Linked DNA regions of Rattus norvegicus. The protein of the gene in region 1 interacts with the protein of each later gene in a pairwise test. Links are inferred from orthologs where the notes say so. Each region holds a gene or a part of one and is shown in the gene's direction. Other genes may lie near its edges.

Region 1 (4,728 bases):
GGCAATCCAGGTTTCCTTCACTATCTATAGTAACCTGGAATTGGGCCAATCCACAATGCTGGAGCCCTCAGAGGACAGGTCAGCAACTTGGGTGACCTGAGGTGATGCTTAACTCTTGCAGAACAAACCGAATTGCATGTCCAGTCACTGAAGAAAAGGCTCTAGCTTCTTCACAGGATATGCCTCTTTTCCTCTCACTCATCCCATACCAACAACCCTTCCCTCTCCAGCTCCTACTTTCTCCTTCTTGCCACAGGGCCTTTGCACATGTGTCTACTGTGCAGGAGACTTACTCTATCCCCCTTTGACCCAGTTACCTTTAGAGCTCTTCAGAACTCAGCTTGAAAGCCACCACCCTTCCACACTGTAGCACACACAGGCTTCTCATGAATACATGGGCTTTCTGGAGCAATGCCTCTCTGACTGCAGGTTCTCTGGGAATAGGGGTTATGTCCAGTTTCCCAGGGTATACAGCATTTGAGATGGGAGGAGCTTGGTTAATCTCCTGAATGAACAAGCAGAAGTGTCCCTCTGGCCTAGGGCTGCAGCGTCCAAGAGGACGTCTTGTTCTCATAGCTGTACATGGGCACCTTCCTGAAGACCATTTCAGCTGAACAGAATTTCCATACGGTCCAACTGAAATGAATTGGATTATTCTCTGCAGCAGTTGTTTTAAACAAAGTTGTCTGTTCATAGATGCTCATACCGAAAGGTTTCTTTTTTTTTTTTTTTGGTTTTAGCCTGTAGCTAGTGGTTAAAAGGGCGGCCTTAGCCTTAGCCGCGATAGGCAGGCGGCCCCAGTTATGCGCCAGCAAAATGCTATAGCACTGAAGCTTAACCCCCAGCACCACAAGAAGGTTTACCGGGGGCTCAAAGACAGCGCGTCACAGAAAGGTTTCTATGGTTAGGACTGTCCTTGTGTACTTGGTCCTGCCCTCAGAGAGGTCATGGCTCTCACATGGCCAGAGACAGAGACAGGTGCATACTCCCCAAATGCTCCAGTGGACATGTTGAGCACAGTGTTAGGTACTTGGGAAACCCAGCTGGGGAGCTTGGAAGGGAGACAGCCAGACACAGACTGGCAAGCAAGCTGTGAACTGTGGGAGGCCTGCCCAGGAAGCTGAGCCTCTTGGCTGTTCTACTCTGGGTCAGAGGACAATGGGTGTGAAAAGGGCGGCTGGTGCCTGGGCTCCTGCTGACAACACTCTGCCTCTGTGCATAGATCTGTTGTAGGCATCCCAACCTGTGAATCCCTGATACAGCTACAGCCTAGACACAGCTACACGATCTACGTTCGAGCCCTGAATGTGGGGGGCACCAGTGCCAGAAGCAAGCCTGCTACAGTACACACCACAGGTCTGTAAGCCAGCGGTGCTCTTGGGACTCAAAATTAGCCACTTTGTTACAGATTCGGTGCTACTAAGTATGCATGAGAAAACGTAACTGTCACATTATGGACAGATCAGAAACCAAAAGGACATCTGAGTCATCAAAGCCCCATAGAACTTGGGTTGGCCTGAGCTAGTGCTAGAACTCAAGGCTTTCCCCCCGTGACCCTCAAGTACCTGACTATCTCAGTGGATCTGGGTGGCCTATGTTTCTTAACTCATGGCTGGTTTGGTTTTGGTTTTTTGAGATGGGGTCTTGCTCTGTGGCTCAGGCTGGTCTCAAACTCAGTATGTAATCAAGCTGACCTGGAACTCAAGGTGATCCTCCTGCCTCAGCCTCTCCAGTGCTGGGCATTACAGGTGTGAGGCAGCATACCTGCCTTGGAAGAGAGCTGCAGGTGATCAAGGCCACCTCCCTCCCCTGCTGTCAGGATAAGCACCTCCCCTGTTAGAAGCCCACTAAGTCTCCACCATTCAGCCCTGCCCCACCTCCACGCTCTGTCTGACCATCCTGGGTGCTGACAGCCCTTCCCATGTGCTTCCACCATGTCGGAGAACTGGCAGGTCCCATGTCCAAGTCCTAAGTGAGCAGAGACCTCATTAGAAACATCCACTGCAATGCCCCCGCCTCAGCCTCCCCATAGCCTGCAATGCTACAGCTCTGCACCCCAAACCTCACTGCAGCCTTCAAAAGCCTCCCAGAGGATGGTGCCCCTGTACAGATATGAGGACAGGATGTCATCTTGGAGGCTGCAGCTCTGGGCCAGCAGAACACTTCTGCTTGTCCATTCAGTGTCAACCAAGCTCAGTTCAAGCCAACTGAGTGGGTGGCCTCCAGGTGAGCAGCACAAGCAGAGAGCCTAGCCAGTGTCTGGGAACGAATTTCCCTTGGCTGAACTCTTCCCCTGAAACACACTGTGCCTCTCTGTCCCCATTTCCATTGGCAGGAGGAGAGGCCTGTGAGTAACACATTCTTATTCCAGCCACAGAGATGGGAACACAAGCTGAGTGTTTTGAAATTACAGATGCTTGCTCTAAAAAAACAAACAAACCACACTGAGAGCCGAGACCAAAGACATAGCCAGCTCGGTTTTCTTTCAGAAGCTGAGGCAGAATTGCTACAAGTTCAAGGGCAGTTTATAGGATAAAGTGGTTGCAGATGAGCCTGTGCTACAGCAGGAGGCCCTGTTTTTTTTTTGGTTTTTTTTTGTTTTTTTTTTTCCCCCCGGAGCTGGGGACCGAACCCAGGGCCTTGTGCTTGCTAGGCAAGCGCTCTACCACTGAGCTAAATCCCCAACCCCAGGAGGCCCTGTTTAGAAACCACTAACAAGGGGGCTGGAGAGATGGCTCAGCAGTTAAGAGCACTGACTGTTCTTCCAGAGGTCCTGAGTTCAAATCCCAGCAAACCACATGGTGGCTCACAACCATCTGTAATGAGATCCGATGCCCTCTTCTGGTGTGTCTGCAGACAGCGACAGTGTATTCATATAAATAATAAATAAATCCTGAAAAAACAAAACCACTAACAAAAAGCAGAGTCCCTCAATTTGGTTTTCCTTGGCATGGTTAAAAATTCTTACTCAGGTCCAAACACTTAGAGCCTGTGAATTAAAAACCCGGTGTCTGGGCTCAGAGAGGTGAGTAGTTCAGCCTGACTCCTATGATCTACCAGCCTGTTTCTTAACCACCCGAGCCTCAGTTTCCTCATCTACAAAATGGGGACAGTAACACCCCTATCTAGGTCTAGATATAAGGGCTAAGGGAGAGAAGATGTACAGATTGCATGGCACTAATCGTACAAGCCCTGCCCCATGAGAGTGGCCACCCTATTCACAGGTTGATCATGACTCCCCCAGGGGCGGGGGTTCTGTGCATCCATCCGGAAGAAGCCATGCGCTTGGGTAATGCTCGTAGGTCCTGCTGGAAAAGTCTTGCAATATCAGGTCGGGGCTTCTTGATGTTCCCTCCCTCCACAGGAAGCTACTTCCAACTGAACAAGGACACCTGCCACCCCTGGCTGACCATTTCTGAAGACGGGTTTACCGTGGTTCGAAGTGAGAAGAAGAGAAGTTTCAGAAGGGAGCTGCCACCCAGCAAGGCGCAGTTTAGCAGGTATCCGACCGTGTCCTCTGACCCCCATGACAGAAGAATATAGCTGCTGCCGAGGGATCCAGAGGAGAAGACTGTGGTGGCCTCTGCCCTGGGAAGTCCTAGGTTGTGGGCACTATGGGATATGGCAGGGCTATCAGGTCACATAGCACAGGGACAGACACCAGGCACTGAGAACACTTTCTCCTGTTGCCATGAAGGTTGCCCCTTAATCCAGAGGTAAATGATCCTTTCACAGGAGTCACCTAAGACCATCACAAAACACAGATAATTGGGGTTGGGGATTTAGCTCAGTGGTAGAGCGCTTGCCTAGCAAGCACAAGGCCCTGGGTTCGATCCTCAGCTCTGGGAAAAAAAAAAAAACCAAACCAGATATTTACATTATGATTCACAACAATAGCAAAATTACAGTAATGAAGTCGTAACAAAAATAAATTTATGGTTGGGGGCCACCCCAACACGAGGAACTATATTAAAGGGTCACAGTGTTAAGAGGGCTGAGAACCACTGCCTTAGGTCTTGTCTTCTCCAAGAGACACAGTCCAAGCAGAAGTTCATTTGGGAAAACAACAAGCAGGCCTGCAGAGCTGGAGGGAGTGGCTCCAGCAGGGGATTCTTTTGTAGCTTCTTAATGAGTTTTATGGATATTTATGAGGCGGGTTACCTATTCCTAAGGGAAAGGTGACCCTTTCCCTCCCACATCCCCGTGGACCAGATAGCTGTTTTAGAGTATGTCTTCTGAGCCTCTAGAAAAGCCGAGAGGAGTCAGAGCCAGCATGCAAGTGATACATGAAGCCAAGGGCTGAGCTGTTTACTTAGATTCTTCTTCTTTCTCTGAGGAGTTATAAGAGGCTTCTCTATAACAGGGAGAAAAATAAAAAAACAACAGAAGAAAAGGGACAGATTAACTCCCAAAGGCTGATCAGTCCCCAAGCTTAAAACAGTAAACACAGTCTCTCCACTCCCCAGTAGCCAGGGCAAACAGTTCAAAGGATCTGCTGAGGAAGAAAGTGGCTCTCCTGTCCTCAGCAGCAGCTGGGGACACAGCTCTGTGCTGCCAGCTAGACTAGCTCATGAAGGCCGTCACTCAGGTGACGTCCCATAATCAATCACAGACAATTTCAGGGTAAGTCAGTATTAGGTTAATGCTGGCGCTTACTAAGAGAAGCTTTTCCTGTAGCTTGAGCATGGGTGGGGAGCCAGGTGGAAAAGGTTTAAGAATAGAACAGTT
Region 2 (5,059 bases), on another chromosome or scaffold:
TGACTCCTTGTCTGCGCCCACCTTTCCCAAGCTTCCAGTCACTGCCCTTCCTTACTCAGCCTTTCTACAGTCATACATCACTGGTTGACATTTTCTTGTATGTCTTTTTATCTACTGTCACACACACACACTACACACACATGCACACCACACACACACACACACACACACACACACACACACACACACACACACACACACACACACTGAATGTGGATCCCCTGAGAACAGGGGTACTGTCTCTCTCTGTTGCTTTCCCATCATACGCCCACTTAGAACATGCCAGGAAATATACACATACATATTAGATATTGACTACATGAACAGATCCTAGGGCCAAAATGAACTCAAACTGCGTGTGGAATATGTCTGCCTACCTGTGATGTGTGTGACCTGAACCTCATCGCTCTTGACCGACCAAAGTTCCATGAGAAAGTAAACTGGGGTACAGGCCTAGTCTCACTGGCAGAGGCTGGTTTCCTCAGTTGGGGGACAGAGAATAATGCCAAACGACAGAATGGCCCAAGGCTCGAGCAGTAGCTAGTTCAGAGGTGCAGAGAAGGCCTTTGATCTACAAGCACCTAGATTGGCTTTGGGGTTCTGCCCAAGCCCACAGCTTCTCTTTGCGCACACTCTCATTGTGGCCAGGCACAGGCATGCACATTGGGGCTCTGCCTTTAGCACATGACAGTTCTCTGAAGGCTGCTTTAATGAACACCATCTCATTGAGGTCACGCGCAGCCAACACACACAGGAAAGCCAAAGTACAGAAGGGACTAGGATCAGAGTGGGCTAGGTACAAATCTATCCGCTGCCCTTTTCCTGGACTACATCCTGCTGGTTCTTCTGTGGAAATTAATTGTGTGAAGTTTGTTTGTTTGTTTGTTTGTTTGTTTGTTTGAGATAGGGTTTCTCTGTGTAGTCCTGGCTATCCTGGAACTCTCTCTCTCTGTAGACCATGCTGGCCTTGAACACAGAGATCTACCTCCTTCTGCCTCCCAAATGCTCTGGCTGTCCATGTGCCCAACACATTTGTAGATGACCACTTCACTTCACAATGTTTCTTACACCTAAGCCTGCAGGGCTGCCAAGAACTGTCTGGGTATAGTTCTCTCCCTGCTAGTATCCAAGAGCCAAGTTCTAAAGAATCCCTCACTGCAGCAGGAAGCGTGGTTCCCCTCCCCTCCTTTGGGGAAGTGCTGGAATTCCCTCCCATACAAACAAGGGAAATTCCTCCTCAGAAGCCAGGAGCCGCCTTGTTCAGAACAAAGCTTGGTGTGAGTCATATTCCTCATCAATCTGACAACACGGGTATTTATTGGTGCCTCTCAATCAGGGTGGCTTGGACATGGTGTTCTGAGTCTCGGACACGGCCACTCACCAAGTAAAATAACGGTTTCTATAGCAACAGTTCTTTTTCATTGCTATCAGAATAAATGGGAATGCAAAACTGCCTCCCATCTTGGGGGTTTAAGGCCCGCCCTTTGGGGGTGGCTGCCTCAGCCATCTGGGACTGGCTTAGCACTCCCTAAGTCTGAAACCTGCAGAGGACCTCGCAGCCCAGACACTGCCAAGGAGCTCACAGCCCCGGACCTGTAGAGAAGTAAGACTCTGATCTATTCTGCTTCACATCTGTTAGGCTGAGTGTGTTCTAGGAGAAGGTGGTGGGAAGGAGATGACCTAAGAGCATCGGAGCAAGCTGTCCCAGCAACTAAGCCCTTCAAAATGTAGGTACTGGGACCCTGCCTTACTGAGGTGAGAAGAGGCAGGGATGTGAAGTGGGGGTGGGAGATAGAGGGTTAAGTAGGCTCTCAGTTACAACCCGGCAGTCTGGTTGACCTTTTACTTCTAAACACTGAGAGGAATTTAACATCTGCTACAGCCTCTCTTAAATCCATCATCACACAGTAGGGGTATGTAGGGTCAGCAAGGAGGGTTCACTTAATAGAGGACAGATAGACACAATCGGCAGATAGTCCAGGTTCTATATGCAATGAGAAAAGCACAGAACTTGGATTTGGGTACCAAAGCTCAGCTCGGATTCTGGCTACCTCACACACTGGCTATGTGATCTGGAGAAATCAGACGACGTCTCTGAGGTCTGTTCCTAAGAAGGGGTTGCCCACCTTCTCAGTTTATTGAGAGTTTTGAGTCGGAAACTAGACGAATAGCTCATTACTCAGCCTGTACTGAGAATGCAGGCTATGGGTGATTCCCGCCTTGCCGATGGACTTGGCTTCATCACGTGGTACACGGCCAGTCTGGGACTAGAGAAATCAGGGATCCAGGGATCAGGGGATTGCCTGTCACTAGGAAGCTGCTATTAGTGGGATGGGCTCTAAATTTGAAACAGTCCTCCCACACACATGGGTTTCTGGGTGCTTGGGTCCTGATGGCTTCCTCACTGTGAAGTCTGGCAACCCCTGCTGTGATTTTTCCCTGAGCCAGCTGCCAGGTGCAACAGCTGTCATCAGATCACAAGGATAGCAGTATGGGACATCCACTCACGCTGCTTCCTGCTCAACAGCAGGGCACAATCCCCAGCCTTGCTATGGACCCTATAGGCCTCACCCTTCAAATCCAACCTTTCTTTTCTCTGGTGAAACGGATCCAGGGGACCAAGACCTGAAGTAGTCTGGAGCCTTCTTGCCTAAATGGATAGGTGGCTCCAAGACGAAGAAGATTGACCTGAGTCTGCAGGGAGACCTAGAGCTGTTGCCAAATGCGTTCTTAGGTTACTGGCCAGCCATTGAGCTACAAATGCATACCACCCACAGGGAGGAGAGAGCAAGCAGGACATGTGGCAGCCAGCTTGTCATTTTTCTGAATGTTTCTCCTTCTCTTGCCAGTGCTTCTCAAAGCCCCCCTGCTGATGCTGAACCAGAAAGGTTTAGAGGAACTGGGGGTTGAAACCTGGCCACAGGCCTGACAGGAAAAAGCTGCTTCAAGCAGCAGGGCAGTGCTTGCGTTTCTCACTGTCTGGTTCTCTGGCCATCATGTTCTCAGCCTTCCTCTTCACAGGGGTTTATTGAGTATACAGAGAGAGAGAGAGCAAAGGGCTGTAAATTGGTTCTGTTGAGTCAAAAACATGCCATTCCTAGGAGACAGTTCTATGGTAGAAAGAGTACTAGGTTTGGAGTCCAACAATCCTGGCTTTGCTAAGTACTTGGCGTGTACCTTAGCTTGATAAGCCCTGATTTCTTCAACTACAAAATGAGTTGCCTTCAAGATAATCATGAGAGTCAGACCAAGTCCCGTGCTCACTCCAAAACATGCAGGACAAGAAAGAGGTTCACAGTCTGCCTACTCAGCCAGGTAGTCTACAAACTACAGTGTGCACACCACAAGGTCTCACATTCTAATGACCTGAGGGGACGGGAGGTGGCCATGATCTCCACTGGTCAGAGGCTGAGAGCGCAGGAGCTGTTTGCTTGAGGCCACACAAGCTAAGATCATGTGTTACATTGTTTCTTTTGCTTTAATCCCTGAACACTTTGTGGACCCAGTGTCATGTGTTGTAACTGATAGACCAGAAACACAATAAGAACATTGAAGATAGAGGGAATGCAGTCAGAAAGTGACAAGAAGACCATAAGGATTCAGCCCAGTTGGTCAAGAACTTACCCAGCATGCACAAAGCCCTGAGATGGATCGATGATACCCCATAAATGGGACATGGTGGCTATGCCTATAGTGTTAGCCCTTGGGAGGTGGAAGCAGGCCAATCAAGAGTTCAAGGTCACCCTTGGCTATGTAACAAGTTTGAGGCCAACTGGGGATATGTGAAACCCTCCTAAAAAGGGGAGGGGGATGAAAGGATCTTGTGCAGTAACCAGGTTCCTGCAGCTGTTCTCAGTGTAAACTTCACCCTGTAGCAAGAGTATCATTCTCCTCCGGCTCTCTCCTCACTGCCCAGGAAAGACCAGGGATTGCTATCGAAGCTACTGTTCCCACCAGTCTGTGCACACCCAGAACCAGACTCAGTCTTTAGGAAGGAACCCTGGGACCTTTTGGGTTACCAACAGAACCTGTGAAGAATGAGAGGCCCCGGTCTCTCTTCTGTATTCTTATCCCTGTGACCCTTCGACCCTCTTAGAGACATACAGACCACTCATTTAGCCAAAACCTTCTGGTCCCAGAGCTCTGTGCCCAACAGAACCTCCTCAGTCACCATGATTCTCTGTAGGATTGAGTAGGGGGCCTACTTCTGTCCTTCTGCTCTGTCACAGGGCTCAGGCTGCTCTGGGAGGCAGGATTCGGGAAGTTTGACCCGTCAGGTGGGTGTTAGACTGTGGGAAGCTGCGGGACACTGCTCCAGGGTAGGGAAGCACCGTCTGAGGACAGGACGCTGCAGCCTTCAGTTCTTAGGCTCTTGGGCATCCAGGCACCGCTGGGATGCTGCAGAAACAGAGTGGGGGCCGATCTAGCCAGGGGCAGAGGGGGAAAAGGAGGGGGGATGCTCCAACTGGTCCTGCTGGGAAGTCTTTGGCTGTCCTGGGTATCAGGCTTGGGCTTGGTAGAGGGCTGAAGCTGGGAGGGCAGGAAAGTCTTCTATGGGAGATTAGGTGACTGGCTCTGTAGGCGAAGGGATTCTCAATGGCTTGCCACCGTGGATCCCATAAGAAGAGGTAGTCCATGGTTTCAAGGCATTTATTGTGATGGTGGATAGGGAATGAGAAAAATTGTACTCCACTTCTCAGAGTGGGCCTGGGATTAAATATCTTTTTCAGGGAAGAGTTTCTGGAAGGAAAGTTCATTGGCTAAGTCTCCAGACCTTTAGGTATCTCATTATAATGGAGATCTGTCTTGAGCCTACTTGACCTATGGTCATGTCCTCTACCTGTGAAGGAGCTTGGGGTGTTTCCCTTATGTGACAGATGGTCACAGATCTATGAAGGGCTGCGGGCCAGTGACCAGCCTGGTTTCCTGGGAGTCAGGCAAAGCGCCTACTGGCCCTTTCAGGGTCTCCAGGGTTCAAATCTCCTCAACTGAGAACCAGGGTGTCTTTCACTGTCCCACAGTTCTCTAGAGGAGGATGTCTGGGTTAAAGACCTAAGAA

The links. The genes of interacting proteins can lie anywhere in the genome.
Region 2: the proteins of Fsd2 (region 1) and Fam107a interact in binary tests that used the Homo sapiens proteins (3 or more experiments, as listed by UniProt). The two-hybrid records come from large-scale screens. The link is inferred for Rattus norvegicus from reciprocal best matches to the Homo sapiens genes FSD2 and FAM107A.

Annotation. Positions count from the first base shown.
Region 1 is NC_086019.1:144,905,070-144,909,797, reverse strand, and holds part of Fsd2 (fibronectin type III and SPRY domain-containing protein 2), read left to right. Parts: intron 1-739; exon of another isoform or gene 740-883; intron 884-1,222; coding exon 1,223-1,356; intron 1,357-3,364; coding exon 3,365-3,500; intron 3,501-4,728.
Region 2 is NC_086033.1:19,045,027-19,050,085, forward strand, and holds the start of Fam107a (actin-associated protein FAM107A), read left to right. Parts: upstream 1-1,554; 5' UTR 1,555-1,603; exon of another isoform or gene 1,604-1,755; intron 1,756-5,059. UniProt on the Homo sapiens protein: Stress-inducible actin-binding protein that plays a role in synaptic and cognitive functions by modulating actin filamentous (F-actin) dynamics. Mediates polymerization of globular actin to F-actin. Also binds to, stabilizes and bundles F-actin.